2 linked regions of the Astyanax mexicanus genome follow. The main gene of each other region encodes a partner of the protein of the gene in region 2 in a complex. Links are inferred from orthologs where the notes say so. Each region holds a gene or a part of one and is shown on either strand. Other genes may lie near its edges.

Region 1 (10,486 bases), on a different chromosome or scaffold from region 2:
CAGCGTATTCCTCATACTTCCCGCTAACCTCCCTGTGCATGAATCAGATTTACCCAATACCCTGCATGCAGGCCCTGCGTAAGGCCCGAGGCATCCCTGGCATTCAGAGCCCCCTTACATACTCACTCACGGCATGGACCATCAGTGACCACTGTCACCAGTACAAACTGTTCAAAAACATTCTAGACCTTCCACATTAGACTTAAGTGGTTCTTTAAGTTTTTGAATACTATATAGAGACAATTGTTTTTAAATTTTGCACAAAATGTGACCTAAAACTTGATCAGATTTTCTTACAAGGCAAACAAATGCAAACATTTAAATTTAGTATCTGGTATGATACGGTTGTGCAGAAATAACTATAACTAAATCTTTCTGGTAACTGGTGATTAGTCCTGCACAGCTTAAAGGAATTTTAACCCATTCCTCCATACAAAACACCTTCAGCTCTGTGTTATTGGATTTCTTCCCATGAACTGCCTGCTTCAGCTCTTTACACAACATTTCTATTGTATTAAGGTCTGGACTTGGCAATGTGGACGTATTTGGAAATATCATTAACTTCACACCTGATCATCCCATCAAATTAAAACACGTGACTTTGATTCATTCATTTTATCTGACAATCCTAAAGATCCAAATACCCCATCTACTTTTAGGATGTGTGTAAAAATGCGATAAACTTTTAAGTTAAATTAATGCAGAAATATAGAACATTCAAAAATGTCCTCAAACTTTTATACACCACTGACCTACCGCATGACTTTAAATGAAACCACATCTGCATGTAATAAAATCCAAACATTAACCAAGAAGTAGAGTTGTTCAGTCCATCTGTCACTTCTCTATAACCTGTAAGCTGTAGAAGCAGGTGAGTGAAAGCTATGAAGTCTTTCACATGGTCCACACGAGTGTGATTCCTAAAAAAGACTACTCCATATCTAATCTCATTTAATGATAACATACAGCATTCCTCTTGCTGAGCCAGATTAGCCGTCTCAGTGTGATAATGATACATCACAATATAGTGTATAATGGGACAGTGGTGGATGAGAAAATCTCCATCAAGTTATGGAGCATACAATAAGAAAAAAACACATCCTTTTATTGTGTGGCTTACAACATTTAAATGCATCTTGTTAAAAGATGCAGCAGACATGGAGGGGAAAGAAGGAGAGAGAGAGGGCACAGAGAGAGAGGGTGGGGAGTAAGAGAGAGAGAAGTGACCAAGAGGACAAGGAAAGAGAGGATGAGAGGGTGAGAGAGGACAGGGATAAGAGAGTGAGAGAGAGAGAGAGAGAGAGAGAGAAAGAGAGAGAGAATAGAGGAAGAGAGTGAGGGAGAGAGAGAGAGTAGAGGGCGAGAGAGAGAAAGAGAGAGAGAGAAGAGGGAGAAAGAGCAGTAATCCGTGTATTACAGTAAATGCTTGTTCTCGGTGTGCTGGTGTCTGTGCAGTGTGCTCGGTGTAATTAAGGCTTTTAGAGGCGCTGACTGCGCTCCGCTCCATTCTTGCTCAGAGGGGCGCCGATGGCTCGCGCCGCTGCGCGCTCTCAGCGCTATATTTAGCGCGCGCCGCAGCCACTACACAGCCTGAGGGGAGAGCAGAGCAGTGCGGGCCTTCTGCTGATGCTTCTACTGCTATTCCACATCACAACCAGCACACCATCACTAATAAGCAGCTTAGCAATGCTCAGATCCAATACCAACCTTTGTACATTCAAAACAACTCTCAACAAAGTCTGGAATACCTATACACCTAATATAAATTCCTTTATCTCAGTAAAAGCGCCAGATTACATTAGAACAAAGGGACCTAAACATAAATAACGTATAATAAATATTTCAGTTTTCTTCTGGACACCTACCCAGCATACGAATTCGTTAAATTCTATTACCAGCTCACCTTTTAATATTATTAAGCACTAATTTAACAAACCAGGCGTTGATAACACCTATAAACAACACCAGGCTAACATGACAAGAGCTGGAAATGTTCTAATGACCACAGTGATGTAATACCAATACTCTGAGTAATAATGGTATTTGTGTATTTTAATTCTTATTTACATATTTGTTCTAATATAAGTGAACAATTCTACAATTTACACAAAAATATCCTCCTAATCTCCAAAACAGCACATTAATGAAAAACATCTTAACTTTAAATTTAAAAAAATATATTTAATTAATGTCATACACTATATGTTAAAACATACTGAAATTAATCTAGCTGCTTCATACACAGCTTGTCTATAAAGCAGAAAAATATAAACCTATTGACACCATGTCAAATGCCAGGTGTGGGCTGGATGGAAATAAAGGCCCAGCATCAGGCTGTGGAGTAGCAGAACTGTACTTTCTGTAATAGTTGTGCCACATCCAGCCATTAAACCAAGCTGAACGACTTGAATTTTTGCACCAAAAAGTTATCCAAAAGCAGTGTGTAGGACTGGTGGAGATGCCATGAAAACTGTGATTAAAAACCAGGGTTATTCCACCAATATTGATTTCTGATCTCTTTATAAATATGAACTTGTTTTCTTTGCATTATTTGAGGTATTAAAGCTCTACATCTTTTTTTGCTATTTTAGACATTTCTCATTTTCTGCAAATAAATGCCCCAAAATGACAATATTTTATTTGGAATTCGGGAGAAATGTTGTCTGTAGTGTATAGAATAAAACAACAATGTTCATTTTACTCAAACATATACCTATAAATAGCAAAATCAGGGAAACTGATTTAGAAACTGAAGTGGTCTCTTTTTTTTTCAGAGCTTTATATAGCTACATGTGTGATATTGGATATTGGCATTGGCCAAGAATTCCCAAATCAGTGCATCCCTACTCTGCTCCTATGTCTAAATGCAATCAAATTCTCACAGCAAGCCCACACTGGACAGTGGAGACACTTCCCATTCCAGAAAAAGCAGGGTAACCTCCTGAAACTCCAGGATAAATACATTTGATATCAGAATAAAACCATTTATTAGGTGTCCCACTTACTTGTGGCCTATTTCAAAATGTGAATCTTTTTTGCGTGACAGTTTATGACCTCGATTCATCGGAATTTCAGCAGTAACATGAACTGTGACATACATACCTCACCAGTGGGTCATGTGACTGCCAGTGGAAAGGAAAGTAAAAGCTCAAGAACCGGTTAAAAAGTTCCTCCTATTTTCCTGCTTTCCATAGAGCACATGTGGCCTGCAGAAAGGCCACGCTGTACATTAATAGCCTAGGAAGCAAAAACTGTGTGAAAACCTGACCAGGAAGCTATATAACAGAGTGACACTCCCACAGCCATCAACAAAATAACACATGACCCTCATATATACACCCTGTCAGCCCAGCCCCTGAAGTCACTAAGCTACAACATGTGGCTGAAACATGAGTAGTTTAGGTATGACAGACACTACAGGCATCCCTCCATCACTCCTACAGACTGAGTACCACAGGTTTCCCAACATCATTCTGAAAACCCTATACTTAAAACAACTATACTGGCCCTAATAAGGAATGCTTAGAAAAAAAGACATACTGAATAACAAATATAAAAACTCGTTATAACTCTATAATAACACATTTTCTAATGTAAGTTACAATGAAGCAGCATTCAGCGAAGCCCTTCTCCATATCAGTAACCACAACAAACCCTAAATTAACCCAATCAAGCTAGCTAAATACCGGCTACCGGCTTTTAGGCCAATCCCCATAGATCTACAGCAAGCTAGCATGCATGCACACACGCGCCTGAAACGTAGGCGCTCTGCTATATAAATTCCAGCTCTATAATCTATCTATTCTATCTATCTGCCCCCACCAACACAGTCAGGGCTACTGCCGCTGAGTCACCACACAAATCAACGCTCTCCCCACTTTATAACATGTCCAGACATCTTCCCGCATCCGGCTCTCTTTACTCAGGGACAGAAACAGATCCCTGACCATGTTTAATTCAATATTACTGCGTTGTTGTCGACAGAAAAAAAACATTATAACTATAAAATGCTTCAAACGGCTGCATACCGGTTGCTGTTCCTCTCCACGAGCTTGTTTGTGTTTCCGCCGGCTCTGAGTCGAGGCTGGAGCTGCTCTCCCTGCTGAAGGTAAAGTCTCACAGGACCTTGCTTCACTCCACACTCGCCTTTCCGCTGAGAATTCACGTGCTCGCAGTGTAACTTCTCCCATACCTCCACCCGCCAAACAACTACAACCAGCAGACAGTCTTCCCACACAGCCCGCCATGCGCGCGACACCGGCGCCACCCCGTGAGCACGAGGCGCACGACACGCGAGGCCTCGACTATTTACCACAGCTGAATTATTATGAGCTGGTCATGTTCATTAATTTAAACTCAGCATGGACAACCTTTCTTGTTTTTTTTTTTTTACATAAACAAGCTCCAGTTTCTGAATCTGTTTGTCTGATTTTGCTATTTATAGGTATATATATGTTTGAGTAAAAATTGTTATTATACTATATATATATATATAGTATTTATTGTGCAAATGTTTTAGGCACCTATGGGAATTTCAGTGAATAAAAAGCTTCTTGTCTGCGAAGTAAGTGTTTATTAGCTCAGTAAAACACTAGCATTACAATAAATACAAACAACAATTGGAACCACTTTAAAATAAGACTACCTTTATAAAGGGTTTATAAATGGTTTGCAACTAGTTTAATAATGGTTACTAATTAGGTTGCAAATAAATATAGTCTTATTTTAAAGTGGTACCCAACAATTTTACAAAACGTAGTGCTTTTACAGCACTGGTTTTCTTAAAATATCATCTAATCTCTCCTCATCTGAGTTATTCCTAGTTCTCATCATAAAAACTGGTTTGGTAAATTGGTAAATATGGTAAATCAGCTGAGCTGCTGACAGAACTGAACATATCCACATGCTGGCTGAGGGCATCCAGGAGAAATCTGGAACTACACTTTGTTTGTTTAGTTTGGCTCACAGGATATAACATAATTTTTACTGTATGTTAATTTACGTCTGTTCAAATCATATGTGGTGTTTTTTTCAGGGAAATACACTCATATTGCTGAGATAAATGGATTAGTGTAATTTGCTTTGGTGCCTAAAACGTTTGCACAGTACTGTATATATGTACATTTATATGTATATATTTTTTCTTAGTAGCATGGTTAAATATGTGCATTTTCAGATTTGTTTACTAATATACAACAAAATACACTATTTAGGCAAAAAAACAATCGCCACCAAAATAAAGAAAAGGTTACACACTCACACATAATATTTTGTTGGACATCTTTTAGCTTTGATTACGGCACGCATTCCCTGTGGCATTGTTTCAATAAGCTTTTAAAATGTCAAAAGATTTATTTCGATCCAGTATTGCATTAATTGTTCACCAAAATCTTGCACTGATTGACTTTTTTTTTGGCCAGGCAGTGTAGGTTGGTCTGTTTTAATCCAACTTTGCTGCCCTGCATGTTTTAGGCCAATAGTTAATTACAACAACCTTAAGTCATTAACTCTCAGCTGACTAAAAAGGAAGGAACAGGTAGCAAATCCAGTTTAGCAATTGATAACCAGACACAGCACCAAGAAGACAGCAATAATTTTCAGTATGACTCAGAAATAGCTACAAAAAAATAATAATTTGTTCTTGTGATAAGTCTATGCTATGCTACATGGCTACTGAGATCTGTGGCAGTGCCATCAACCAGCCTATAATCATATGCTATGCTAACTGCATGAGTAATGTGAAAAAGCTTTCATAATCTTGCCTATTAATAGGCTTGTGACAACACAAGCCATTTTTTGCCCCAAACAAAAACAAAAACAAAAATATATAATAGAAAAGAAATGTATCTTTGCCACCTAAAAGGAAAAAAGCAAGGAACATCTATTGAAGACTAAATCGAAATCGATTTAGTAATCGAATGTTTGGGACTGTATTTAAGGATAAATTTAAAGCCTGAAAATCTCTGAAGAAACTGGCTGAAGGGTGAATTGTGACCTTCAGGATGCTAAAGTAATTAGATACCCCTGCACTACTATATTGGGATTCAGATATGCTTATAAAACAGTTTTCATAATTAAGACATTTGTACTAAATATAACAAAAATAGAAATAAAAATGGCAGGGACAAGTACATATCACCAAATAAGCCTTCTTTTAATTATGCTGAAATATTTACATAACACACATTTAGTCCAGTAGTAACTGAACTGTGGCATGTTTTTGATGTTTTGTCTCTGTACTCCAGCAGATGTAAAATGAAACATTTTACAGAACATAACTTTTATTGTGCAGGTATTTATGTTTGTACTGGTGAGTCATATCTGGAACAGCTTTCAGGGAACTGTAAGTACTGTAATTGGGAAAATTAACAAATAGAATTGACATAGTTGATGCTTGGTCAACTCTTGCAACATCTTTTGCAGGAAATAACTACTCAAAGTATGTGACTCAGACTTTTGCAGTCTTGTGGTATCTTCCCTGGCCGTGCTGCAGGGTCTGTAATATTTCCTTATTTGGTTCCTGCTCATTTGCCTGCAGTCTTGCTTACAGCAAGTCAATTGAGTGCTGGAAAGATTCCAGGTTAGGTGGTTCACTTGTCTGTCTTGTTTAGAATATGCTAAATGGTGCAGTGACACATGGCTGGCCATGGAACAGAAACACTAATTCCCTCTAGTTCCCTAACTTGAACAGAGGTTTAAAAAGGGCTGCACATTCTTTTCCTGATACACTATATGTCCAAATAGCTTTTCAAAAGTTTGTAGAGAAATACTGCCAATTGAATAGACCTCCCTGGGGCAGATAACTACGTACTTACTGACACTACCTAATGCCACAGATTCCTCTAGCACTGGCTGTAGAGCGGTGGAACTGTGGCCTCTCTATTACTTTTGGAATGGGTTGATGAGTTGGGATGTAATGATGAGTTGGGGATGAATTGATAAGTTGGGGAGGAATGAATGAGATGGGGATGAGGTGGGTGGGTATCCATCCAACATCTTTACCTTACTAATGATCTTGTTGCTGAATGCAATCAAATCCTGACAGCAATGTTTCAGAAGAGAAAGTTATTCAACAATTTTTTAATACACTTGATTTCAGAAGAAACCATGATGAACGAAGTGTCCCAATACTTATGTACTTATGTCAATGTGTTCTGGAGAACAGACTCAAAACATAACAAAAACATATGGCCACTGTGCTATCACATACAAGCTGCACTATACAATACACACATACATCAGCCATAACATTAAAACCACTAAAAGATGACACAAATAACACTGATTATCTGGTTAGGGATGGGAAATATTGGGCATCAAGTGTCCAATATATGTTGTTGAACAAGGGCCTCGGATGTATGTGAGGAGTTAGGGCTAGATTTGATCCCACAGATGATTTGTACATTTCTGAACACAGTGAACTGCGTCTTGCTGCATCTTGCTGCATGTGGGCCTGTGTTGCCACAGAGTCTATCTGAATGCCCATGCCAATGCCTGTTCCCTGCCAAAAGCACCTCCAGTAGGCTTCAAAACCTAGAGCATGGAGCAATGAAAGAAGGTGGTCTGGTCACATTCCTAAGCAAGCTATGGCAATCAGATGCACAACAGGAATAAGGGAAGCTAGCAAAGCTGGCAGTGAGACTTTTTGATAACAGATGACAAAGAACACCTTCAGGGTATTCTTATAAGTCCATGTTTTGACAGGTTAAAGCTTTTTGGTGGCACAAGGGAGACCTACACAGTATTTAGCAGGTGGTTTCAATGTTATAGCTGACCCATGTGTACAGTATATAAGTAGAAATTTGCACACAATTCACTTATAGGCTTGTAAAATGTGCTTAGGATCCCACAGAGGAGTGTTTAGAGTCATTTCATGCTGAGGTGTGAATAAATAAAACACTTTTACTATTACATCAGATGCAAAACATCCACAAAACTCAAGTATTCAAAAACAGAAAGTCATGTACAAAAACTAAACAGAAGAACATCTGCAGTTTAAGAAGCTTCTTCACAGTCTTTAGGTGCGATTTTTGAGCAATGATTCCTTCTTAAAACCTCAGAATTGTAAAAAGTTCCTCACAAAACATCCCAACAAATCTTAAAAGATGTTTCTATGACCAGATTTCAGTTCTTTTGGGTGGATCCAAAAACAAAACCTGGAATTATGGGGCAACATCTCAGCATGTCAGGAAAAATATAGCAAGTGAAGCACACAGAGGTACAAAAAACTGCAAAAGATTGTATTCTATCGTGAATCCTTCAGTCAATCAAAATACAATTCAGCTGTATTTTGGCAATGGTATAAATAATTCCAATGAGGGTATGCCAGGTCCCCAGTGAAGATGGGAGGAAGAACGCTGTCATCGCTAGCTTATTCATTGGCAGTACTGAAGCAGCATGGGTACTGTAGTTCTTTAGTAGAGCAGAGCTCAGGTCCTCCGGGGCTCCAGCTTGTGAGAAAGTTGGGACAGGGTACGCTGGTTGTCAATCACACTAATCTGACGAATGTAGCTCCGAACATCCTGGTGATTCTTAGTGGCCTGTGGAGCTTCATGGGCTTTAAATGAGAGAGAGAAAGAAAGAGAGAAAAATAAAAGAATGATCTTTCTATTTTAAAACCTCTAAAGTCACTACACAGTTTGGGATTTCCAGGCCACAGTATTACCCAATTGACCTGAAAGTGTCAAATTACAAAAGCACCATGTGTAAGCAGGAAGCACAGTGGTCACCTAATTTCTGTCACATACTATTTACAGCACATCAAAATAAGGTAATGCTGAAAACTAAAACAGGAATTTACGTATGCAGGTCTTGGACTTACTGAATGGCTGGCTTCTGCAGTATCTCATTATTCTCACTGTGTTGGCAATCATTCGCTGTAAGCATTAAAATACATATACATTAATAACATTTCTTTATTAATATGACACACATTGAACTATTCTATAAACAGATAAACTTACCATTTTCTCAAAATTGACCAAACTGTCGATGAACGTCTTGTTGCCTTCATGAGTAAAAGTCATATCTGATGAAATAATAAAAAGGCATTAAGCATTTAATGTTTGTAAAACAACAAGTTTTGTGTGTAGAATGTAATACAGCTCTGGAAAAAAATAAGAGACCACCTCTCAGTTTCTCGGATTTTGCTATTTATACGTATATGTTTGAGTAAAAAAAAGTAAAGCAGTTCAGCTTGGTTTGATGGCTTGTGATTATCCATCCTCCTCTTTATATTCCAGAGGTTTTCAATTTGGTAAAATCAAAGAAACTTGTCATTTTACCTAGTCTCTTATTTTGTTCCAGAGCTGTATGCTTTATATGTCCATTTGTGGTTAAACATATTACAAAACTCATGGTTCAGAATGGATCACATTTTATGAGTCACAGATCAGATCAGCAAAAAAGAAAAGAGAGACAAATGTGAAACATTAAATTTAGCTTTCATTTGAAAATATCATTTATTACTACTTTGTTTGTATTTGTGATCTTTATTTTGAAAATCTGTAGCAGGCTAGTGGAGCAATTGCATCTTTCTTGTGCTATTTTTTTTCTTTCGTTCTGTTCTACATTAAAAGTTAACAGGGAACTATCTCGTTCTGAGGTTGATTTACTTGAAGATTTCTTCTTTTTACATCTAACCCATGTCTATATGGGACTCCTACACCTTACACTTATATAACTCTGCTCCCCCCTCAGACATCAGAGTCTCTGCAGATGAGTGGCTGTGTTCAGTGTTTAAATTACTTTAAAAGTAACTTTAATCAGTAAATGATTAAACCTTATGGGATTGGGGGATTTATCTGTGATTTATGTGTCCTGAACTGTTGTTTTCAAGAATTACGTTTGATCCATTTCATCACTAATCTCTATACATACTGGGTTCTAACCCTAAATTGTATAATCTAAACCTGAGATGTACAGTCTACCAACAGCTAAAATTTCTATTTTTAAGGAAGCGGAATCAACTATCTAAAGTCTAATTGATTTGTGGAAAAAAATGACACTTTTGTTCTAAACATCCAATCAATAGCATATGTGTGTTTGCAAACAGATAGTAAAGGCGTATTATTTACTTGGTTTATTGACTAGGAATGACAAAGGCACATGAAATGTGAAGCAGAAGAAACTACATTTTAATTAGAGTCTGAATTTGAAATCTCTTTTTGTGTGTTTAGTCTTCTTTTCTATAAAGAGCATGTAAAAGCCTTAGCATTGCTACAAGGTTATTGTAAGTTATTGCATTTAAATATATAACAAATATCAGCTCCACAGCACCCACCTTTAATGAGTAAGGGCATGAAGGGGATGATAGGGGGGTCAAGTTTAGCCACAGTGAGGCGATACGCTCTGTGATTTCTAGAAGGGTCCTGAGAAACCAAAATAGAATTAGAATTAGAGAAAGAGAATGGCAGAAAAACCCATATTGTATTTCAATCATTACTATCAAGCCAACAGTCAGGCAGACAAGATATGAAGATATTTA
Region 2 (10,320 bases):
AAGCCTGCACTGTTTCTGCATTGGCAAGAACATGCCCCTTATCACCCTGTCTTAAGGGTGTTTGGACAAACGGAATAAAATTGCTGCATCTCAGAAAGCTGCGATGAACAGAAGTGGGCTGTTCAACAAGGACTAAACAAAAACTACACCCAAGTCACCAAGTCAATTTCACACCGGAGTTCTCCTTTAAATATACTAACTAAACTGTTATACTAAAAGTTGTGTTAAAAAAGGGAAACACAAATGTACTGACTAAAAGCACAAAATTTACTGTTTGTACATTTTTCACATAAAATCACATTGTGTAATTGTGTATAATCAATCATAATGGATGAAGTCAAATTTCACAAAAGAGTAAAAAAGACATGCGTACCAGCAGTGAGTTGCTTTTCCTCTTTTACAGGCTGTGACACAACTTCTGCCAGCCGCAGATACTGCAATAAGATGCTGGCTGCTTCCTCCCCTCTAAATCTCACTTGATCCAGTAGCCTCCTAACCTACACAAGGAAAACAAATTCTTAGACCATCTTTCATCTGCATTGACCAGCCTGCTAACTGCTTAGATAGCTCCAAATAAAAATCCAACTATTATAATTCTACATTGATTATAGGTTCTTGACTTAGAGACAGAACTGTTTAGTCAGATGGGCCTAATGATGTAATAAACAAGGTATTGCTGTTCTGTGAATAGCTGTCAGTTTTTTTCAGTTTTAAAACATACACATGGTTCATCATCAGGCCTATTCTTATTTCTTCATATTCATAGTTTTTTATATGTTGTATCTGATAAACTATATGATCCTAAATACCAAATTTGTTATCTGTAAATACTGTGTTTATTTCTTAGTAATATACATAATATAATGTGGGTATATAAGGTACTCTATAAAATTGTCGGACCAAAATCGAAACGATTTCCCAGGTAACATTAATTTAGCCAAATTTCATCAATGAATAAATAAAATAGCCTAAACATGTTTTTGTCAAAAAGCAAACACAAAAAAAATCTACGATTAAAAATATTGTTTCAACACAAAACAATGTTTAACATCCCAGCAGACATGCCAACAAAGCAAAATATGACTTTTGGTTTCCAAATAATCTGTGCATCTGGAGTTGTTACAAAGCATTTGGGGGCCTAAAGCAAAATGGTGCTGTACTGTCCGGCACTGACCATCACAAAGTTTAAAGGGGCATTCAGTTCATAACCAGTCGTTGTCTGGGGGCTCCAGGCCAGCTCAGGGTCCTAGGAAATTGACTGGTTTGCTTGCCTTGTTGCAACGGGCCTGTATGCATCCCAATAACAGATGTATTCTGAACACTATTCTAACCCTTATATGTGTTCCTTACCTTTTGTGAAGGTGTGTAAACAGGTAACATCACCTCATCACAGTCTTTTGAAGTAAAGCAGCCAGCGTTTACCAGCGCTTCCAGCACTCCATCAATATGATCCCGTATTTTCCTCACCAGTGCTGGTCTATCAGTCATCAAAGTCTGACTGGCATTAGTGGAGGTCCTCTTAGCATCCTTTCCTGCAGCAAAACTTTTACCAAAGCAGAGTCCGGCTTTCTGAGCGTCGGGTAAAACTTGCTTAAACGCTGACAGTAGAAGGAGACAGGACTCCTCGCCTTTGTTGTACACCAAGTCCAGCAGTTCTCTGGCACTGGAGCAGAGGGGTTTGGCTGGTTCCCGCACACTTAGGTAGTCTTCCCACACAATTACACCCCAAGACAGCAGAAGATCCAGCACACAGTCCAGGGGTTCAGCCGTGCCCCCACAGCATAGAGCTCCCAGAAGCTCCGTTCTCTGCCTCAGGACCAGCTGCTGTCCAGACATATCTCTGGTATCATCTGGTCATCTGTAGTGTAAAAAAAATATTAAAAAAATACAATTTAACCTGACAAAATATTACTTTCACAACCTGCTGCAAATTTTTTTCTTCGATCTTCACTAGATGTAAAAGTGTCCAGATTGCTGGATTCACGTCAGTCAGTTAAAGATCTACAAGCCTATACAGGATCACCTTTTGTTACAAAATCGAAATAAAAACAAGAGGCTAGGCTGCTCCCAAACTGGAAACCCCTCCCACTAGACAAACATAAAGCATTCTCAGCCAGTAGTTTTTAAATCAGCTTATTATTTGTTATTTTAAATAAAGATGCATTCATCATTAGTAGTGGAAATTACAGGCATCTCACAATACATTACCAACAATAACAATGATATCATGATACTGTGATTCTAAGCAACTCGATACATGACAAGAGAATCTTCTACTGAAGATGAAAGAATACTCCTTAAGAAATAAATACCAGGAATTATGGATTTATTGGTGTCAGTTTCACAGAATTTAACCAATATTATTAATTGCAGAATTACTGGTCCCTCTGATAGCGCCACCACATGGAGTAATGAACCAGTAACTTTATTAAGTCAAATTGGGGGGCAAGTATTACATTTACAAAGGAAATTTTGATTGATTTAAACCAACCTGGGAGATGACCATTTCTGTAAGACTAAGACATTGGTAAGACATTTCTGTGTGGACTAAGAAGGTGGAGTAATATTACAGGATTTTACACAAGTATGACCAACATGGTTTTGCCATGTTAGCTCTTAGGAGAAATTTTGAAGCAATAGCTTTACACATTTAAGACCAAAATAATGGTATGTATAATGTCACTTCATCCAATAAATCCATAAATGGTATTTAGGAGTATTTTATCCTCTCCAATAGAAGATTTTGTAATATTCTAATGCATCTCAAAAAATTAGAATATCATGGAAAAGTTGGACTGGACCAACACCAGCAGATATGGCTCTCCAAACCAATAAAGTTACTTTTAATATATATTCTATTCTTTTTTTTTTTTTTGAGACACTAGTAAGTTAAATTTTTTTTATCTCAGAATCACAATATGAATGAATGAAGCAGTTAATTTCCATCATGGCTGTGAATAAATAACCTTGTAATTGAACCTTGTAATTGAAATAACATTGTAAGTCACTCTGGATAAGAGTGTCAGTTAATGCTGTAAATCTAAATCTAATTATTAAACTTCCTAGAAACATCCAGCCGACCTCACAAAAACGTCTCTTATAACGTTAAACCCCACACAAACCCCGAAGCATCATGGGAACACTCCACTGTAAGAAACCTTTGAAATAAAAAAGTACGTGTCTGTTTTTTTTTTAAAGGAAGAAAATGTAAAATACAGGAAACAGCTATGAACTGTTGAAAAAGCATTTTTTTTTACATAAGTCTATTCTTGTCATTTTAATGTTTTTTTTTTCAGATATTTGTTTGTAGGGGAAATACTGTAAAATGTCAAATGACTTGAGAAAAGTCTGCCCTTTTTTACAGTGCAAAGAGAAGCACGTGGCTAATAAGTATTGAATAATTTTTAAACTTAATTCATTAACTGTTAAATGTAACACGTTGAGTGTTCATCCAACACTGGCAAGTTTGGTAAATTATCCAATTTAGCTACATTTAATCCAGTCTAAACGTCTGAAACGCAAGAAAGGCAGCCAGATATGTGTTATGAGTCGAAGTTTAGCAATTTAGCTTCTGTTTTATTGGGCTAAAATGTAATAGCTAATAGCTAATAACAAAACAGCCAGCTGCGTTTTTTATTTTGAGTTGGATACAGTGATTTTTACTAACTTCTTCATAATGAGACGGTGTAGGCAACAAGTAATCATTTTTGCGTTTCAGACACAGCAATACAGTATAAACAGCCTACCTTAAGTTGAGTTGAGTGTTTAGAGAGCCTGTCCTGCTCATAGAAAGCTCATGAAGCTGTCCTGAGGTGACTTTTCCGTGTTGCCTGTCATGTTCACGGCGGTGGATACTGTCAGATAATCCCCTTTAGGCGAACTTCTGTTTGTTCTCGAGAGAAAAAGGGAAATTCTCCCAGCTCCTTCCTCATTCCTGAGCGTAAAAGTGTAAGTAGTTTTTGTTACCGACCCCCTTTTTTGTCTCTCACAGTTTCAACATTTACACTACACCACAAACAACTTAAACCCTGCCTAAAACGTGTATACTGTATACTTACGGTAAGAACGGCTGCTGGGTGCAGTCTGTATCAGTCTGTGTGATGAACTGAAAGTAAAACTGGAAGTGTGTAGTTTAGTGTGAGGAAAGGATGAGGCTGGACCTACTTGACCAGTGTTTACAATGTTCTGCTTCCCTGATATCCAGAGATGTAACCTATAGTAACAGACAGAACTACTTCACTACTGTACTTAAATACTAAAATGCTGTATCTGTATCTACTGGAGTATTATTTTTACTTCACTACTGTACTTTAGTACTAAAATGCTGTATCTGTATCTACTGGTGTATTATTTTTACTTTAGTACTGTACTTAAGTACTTAAAAGCTGTATCTGTATCTACTGGGGTATTATTTTTACTTCACTACTGTACTTAAGTACTAAAATGCTGTATCTACTGCAGTATTATTTTTACTTCACTATGGTACTTAAGTACTAAAATGCTGTATCTGTATCTACTGGATAATTATTTTGACTTCACTACTGTACTTAAGTACTATAATGCTGTATCTGTATCTACTGGAGCATTATTTTTACTTCGCTACTGTACTTAAGTACTAAAATTCTGCATATGTATCTAATGAAGTATTATTTTTACTTCACTACTATACTTAAATACTAAAATGCTGTATCTGTATCTACTAAAGTTTTATTTGTACTTTACTACTTTATCTAAGTACTAAAATGTTGTATCTATATCTACCGGAGTATTATTTTTGCTTTACTATTGTACTTAAGTACTAAAATGCTGTATCTGTATCTACTAGAGTATTATTTTTACTTCACTACTGTACTTAAGTACTACAATGCCGTATCTATATCTATTTTAACTTTCCTTATTGATCAAAAAGATATTATTCTCTTAGTCTGCCCTATTAATACGTCTTCACGTGACTTAATTCACCGTCACTGTTCCTGTCTTTCTTAATAGTCAAGGAAATACCCAGTTCTGAATGATTCATTCAGAAGACTATTTCTCAAAACTGTCACAAAGACTAAGAGGAATTGTAACATTGTAGAGCAGTTTCCCAGTCAGGGACTGAGCCTAGTCTTGGGCTATAGAGTATTTTCGAATGACATAGGGTATGACTAGGCTTAATTCCTGTCCGGGAAAAACAGACCTTATAACAACCTTTAGTGCTTTATTCTAGTCACTCCTGTTCCCACAGAATTAATCTCTCTGACTCATATTAATCATGCATGCCTTACTTCCAACTCATTTGGAAGTTCAGATACCGAATCAAGAAAACAGTTACTAGTTCCTGACAGGAACAATTCAGAAACTAAGAAAGAGAAAATATTTAGCTTTGACAGATCTACTACTACAACTAGTTCACTTAACTAACTGTTTTTTCATAGTTCCTATTTCACTTTACTTGGTTCACAAAACCTTAAGGGAAGCGGGGCTGTTTAATGTATCATCTTTGCCTAGTGGACATTATGATGGCAGGTCCTCAAAATAAAAAATAAAAATGCCAAAATCACCAAATCAATCACAATAAATTGTATCTTCTTAACTAAATATAAATCAATGCCAACCCTGAAGCATCATGGGAGTTCATCTATGACACAACATCATAATGTAACTATGGGTCAATGGGTCAGTGTGGAAAATATGGAAAAACTGACTGCAGTTTTAACACAAGTAAAGTTTTGGAAAAGGTTTCGTAAAGCAAGGAATGCAAAATATATTGCTTCATTAGTTAGACTTTCCTATTAAACAGATTCATTACTTCTACAATGTTCTTTAACTTTCACAACTGTAGCCTCAACTAGCTATCCTATTTCACAGGGTTCCCATTTGACTTTATTAACACTAGTCTGATGGAGATGGGGTTATTTAAGGCATCATCTCTGTCTCACATCACTCACATCATGACAGTAGGTGTAATGAAATCACCAAACTAATCACAATAAATTTGAAAACAATCTAACAATCACAAAAATACAGAACAAAACTACAATGAACTTATCCATGCAGTAACTTATTTTCTTTAACTTATCTAAAACATACATAATTGCACTTACTGTACATGTTAAGGTTAACACAATATCTGTCACAAACACTTACAACATAAAACTAGGAATTGTAATCCCAAACAGGACAAAATCTCTAGCCCCAACAGGCCAAAGCTAGTATTTGTTTATCTACTCCAGAGAGTCTTATTTTATTCTGTTCTATTGACAGTGCTTCTCTACAGGGACTTGTCAAGCTGTGAATGTGCATTTGCTCTACTGTGTCAGAATTGGGTACAACCTAAAGCAGCTAAACACATTCATTAACAGGAGCATATATTATATATTTTTTATGTAGTTGAAATGCTGTTCCATTACTCTGTGGGAAAAAGTATATTTTGGAAGGATTAGAATGTGGAATTGGAGTTGGAGTACAGTGGATTTAACTGCAAGGTCAAGTTTTGAACACTAGATGGAGCACTCACACTGTGTAAAGAAGACATTGTCTCAGAGAGATCCCTCAGTGTGATGCTTTGTTATTTAATGCTTTTGGCAAAGCCATCCTGACTGACTGCATCTACATTTATTACTAAATTAAAACGTATTTCTTAAAATACAGCTAACCTTTTTTTTAAAGCATCAGTATTTTACCTTTAGAATTGTGAGTTGCTTCTATTTGCCAATTAATATTTGAGCCCATGACAAGAAATTTGACATACCACTGAGAGCCTGTTTTATAAAAAAGGAAAACTGTGTGCAGATAAATTTCAGATGCAAAAATGTACAATATTTACTGCACTGACTGGACAACACCATAGAAAAAGATGTATGTAGAAGATCTGTGCAGAGAATCAAAAGAACTCGAAAGAAATGTCCCAACTAAACTTCTTTAATTGTACTAAAATGCATTTACATTTTTATTTTTTAATTGGGTATATATGCTGCTGAAACAGGGAGCTTAGTGCATCCCAAATGTTTAATTTACATTTGAATAGAACATTATACTTTATAGTTTTTCCATATTCTGCACTACTAGTTTATTTATTGTCTTTACAAATTTGCACTGCTAAATTATTAAATAGGTGCGTAATTGCGTACTTGCACTGTCTGTAATGTGAGCGCATCAATCATCTTTTCAATATGCACAGCAACTGGTGCACATTGTTATTTTACCCTGTCTACAGTGCAGTTATTTTACTGCACTACCTCCATTACACAGACACAAAAAACTCTACTTTTATACTTGTTTTTTATTGTATTTTTATCTGTACCATTCTATCTTATCCTTTTTTGTAACACCTGTGTACTATGTATACCTGCTGCTACTGGATGTGCAGAATTTCCCTCTGGGATTAATAAAGTATCTATCTATCTCTCTATCTATCTCTTATAGCTAGGGCTGGGTATTCTTTTAAAAGCTACCGATATGATGAATTTGGTTCTGATACCCAAACAATACAATTTTTTCGATATTTTTATCTAAATTGTAACCAAAAAAATACAAAAAAAACTATAGCTATTATTACACAAAATATTTATTTAACAGCTGACATGAGTCTTAATCTTAATCTTATTCTCATACTGTCACAATGAGAGACTTCATCTTTTTGGATCTTGTTGGAAGAAACCGTGAGCATGTTTGTGGTTCTTTATTATTTTTATTTATTATTTATTTATTATTATTATTTTGATACACATATTATTGTATTATTATTATTATTATTATTATTATTATTAATCACTTGAATTACAATCAAGATAATTTTTTTAAGTGCATAGAATAGGACCTCAGATTTGGATAAATGTTGATAAATTTGGGATGCACTAGGTTCCCCATTTTAGCTGCACATATGCCCATTGAAAATGAATGAATTTCATTAGTACAACGCAATAAGTACAATTACAGCAGTTGATGCTAAATTATGTGACACACATATGTATGTATTATTTATCGTTTTAAAAATAAAATAAAACTACATTAATGAGTTGGATTGTGAAAAAAAACATGAAATTATAAGATCCCAAAAATAAAACCCTCACCTCTCACCTTACAGCACCTCACTGAAGTTCCAGTGTGTGTTAGACCTACTCCCTCCAACCAAACACAATGACTTCTGCAGCTGTTAATTAGTTGGAGCAAGGTGCAAGGTCAAAATCTTCAGAAGCTAGATTTTTAACAAGTGTTTTTTTTTTTTTTTTTAATGTAATGAAGTGTTTGCTGGACCTGTGTATATATATATGTGTGGGTATCTCTGATCTGAGACTATTTCTTCTTATCCGCCTACCCAGAACTGAAATAATTATCTTCACAGACCTGCTTAAAACAGCTGCTTGAAGCTCTTCCTATAAAGCAGCACATTGTTGTAGCTATACTCTACCACCAGCTTCTCCTGGGGCACATTAAATCTTACAGTATAACTAGAGTTCTGTATAATATACATGAACACATAAGTACAAGCATGTCTCCTTTGTCTTTCCAGTAAATCTAACAAAAACTTGAGCCATGGGCATTGTACAGCTTGACATATGAGCATTATTAATAAATCTTAATTGTGCCATCTTACAGCCCTTAAGTTGTATATCTAAGCCAGTTGTCACTACAAAATCTATACAGTCGATCCATAATGAAAAAAGGCCTTTTTTTGCCTTTATTCATCATTTCAGTGGGTCCCATCAGGCAGGAGACTAAAGTTTCATCTTAGCTAGTTTCACTAGCTAGTTTCACTAGCCAAGAAGAATCGGTACAAAAAGTAATTTGCATCTGCTGTGGCTATTCTGAATAAGGAGGTAATACACAATTTCCCCACATAATTCAAAATCTGTTTGTATTTTTATGTTTTGTATTTAGTTTTTTTTTTTTTTTTTTTTTTTTACTTTGTTTCTGTAATTTCATGTATTTGTCTGCCAAAGACAATTTTCAATTCAATGTAAATTTAATGGACAATAAAGCTTTATTTTATTTTTTCTCATATCTCATATGTTGCCTTCAAGACCACATATGCATTTTTAGCAAGACATTGCAAACCCAAGTGCTGCAGACATTACAAATGCTTGGCTGCAGAAGAGAAGGGAGTGGTCTTTTGCATTGGCTTGCCAACAGTCTTGGCGGGTCCTGTCCTCAATAAAGAATGTCTTGAGGATTTTGAATCAAAACACTGCAACGACAATGCCATAATGTTGCACACTTTACGGTTGTGTTTATAGGAAGAAGAATGGGACAAAATCGAACCTAAAATAACACAATTTCTTAAATGTGTTACAGGCAGGCGCTTTGGAACAAGGTAAGCAAACCAATCAATTGACTGGAGCCCCTGAGCTTGCCTGGGGTCCCCAGACAACGACTGGTTATGAATTTAATGTGACGACAAACTGTGTGAGCATCCCTTACATTCTGTAATGATCAGTGCATGAAAATATAACAGCACTGTTATTCACACTGGAATCCTCTTCAAGGGGGAGCCTCATACTAGTTGATACTCATACTGGTTGACTGTAGCCAGCCAGACAGGTTCGTGATTCCTGCAGTCGGCAAAATAGGAAACTTCAGCAGTCATTGTTTTTCCCATTTGCTCCCCAATTTACACAGCCAATGACCCAACCCACTCATTAGGACTCCCCCTATCACAAGTGATGCCCCTACACCAGGAGGGTGAAGACTAACACATGCCTCCTCCGATACATGTGAAGTTACCCACTGCCTCTTTTCGAACTGCTGCTGATGCAGCATTACCACATAGCATTACAGCGCACTCGAAGGAAAGTGCAGCGACTCGATTCTTATACATCAGCTCACAGACACATGCTTAGTGCTGAGCAACATCACCCTTTGTTGGGGGGATATGGGGAGAGAGCGCCATCTACCCACCCAGAGAGAGAGCAAGGCCAATTGTGTTCTCTCGGGGCTTCGGTAGTTGATGGCAAGCTACATCAACAAGATTTGAACCATTGCTTGGGCCCCCAAATGCCTTGATATGGCGCTAACGCAGGGATGAAATGAAGTTTACCAGACAACAATGTAAAAAAATACCTTGGTGTTATACTGAAATATTTTATATGCATTTCCCTCAGTGCCTTACTTTTTTCCAATGTGGACGTTTTACATGATATCCAGTTCCAGTTCTTCTTCATGTTTGCTCTATCTAGCTTCATCCCTCTGCTTCTCCCACCTTTTCATTTGTCCCAGGCTATAGATCATAGTGGATGATGTCAGCTTAAAAGTACTGAAGGTCAGAGATACAAGAACACGGATTAAAGCTAATCTTGGATTAAATTACATTTCCATCAATCGGGAATCTCTATCGGAAAT

What was found. The genes of interacting proteins can lie anywhere in the genome.
Region 1: nod2 (region 2) and map3k20a share a complex: the UniProt entries of both Homo sapiens proteins name them as parts of the signaling complex. The link is inferred for Astyanax mexicanus from reciprocal best matches to the Homo sapiens genes NOD2 and MAP3K20.

Annotation. Positions count from the first base shown.
Region 1 is NC_064418.1:31,274,707-31,285,192, reverse strand, and holds the start of map3k20a (mitogen-activated protein kinase kinase kinase 20), read right to left. Parts: upstream 4,257-10,486; 5' UTR 4,248-4,256; coding exon 4,029-4,247; intron 1-4,028. Other genes in the region: rapgef4a (rap guanine nucleotide exchange factor 4), read right to left, coding at 8,430-8,557, 8,822-8,876, 8,964-9,028, 10,283-10,370. UniProt on the Homo sapiens protein: Stress-activated component of a protein kinase signal transduction cascade that promotes programmed cell death in response to various stress, such as ribosomal stress, osmotic shock and ionizing radiation.
Region 2 is NC_064430.1:11,847,099-11,857,418, forward strand, and holds the start of nod2 (nucleotide-binding oligomerization domain-containing protein 2), read right to left. Parts: upstream 4,146-10,320; 5' UTR 4,059-4,145; exon of another isoform or gene 3,935-4,058; 5' UTR 3,747-3,934; intron 1,859-3,746; 5' UTR 1,837-1,858; coding exon 1,351-1,836; intron 498-1,350; coding exon 374-497; intron 1-373. UniProt on the Homo sapiens protein: Pattern recognition receptor (PRR) that detects bacterial peptidoglycan fragments and other danger signals and plays an important role in gastrointestinal immunity.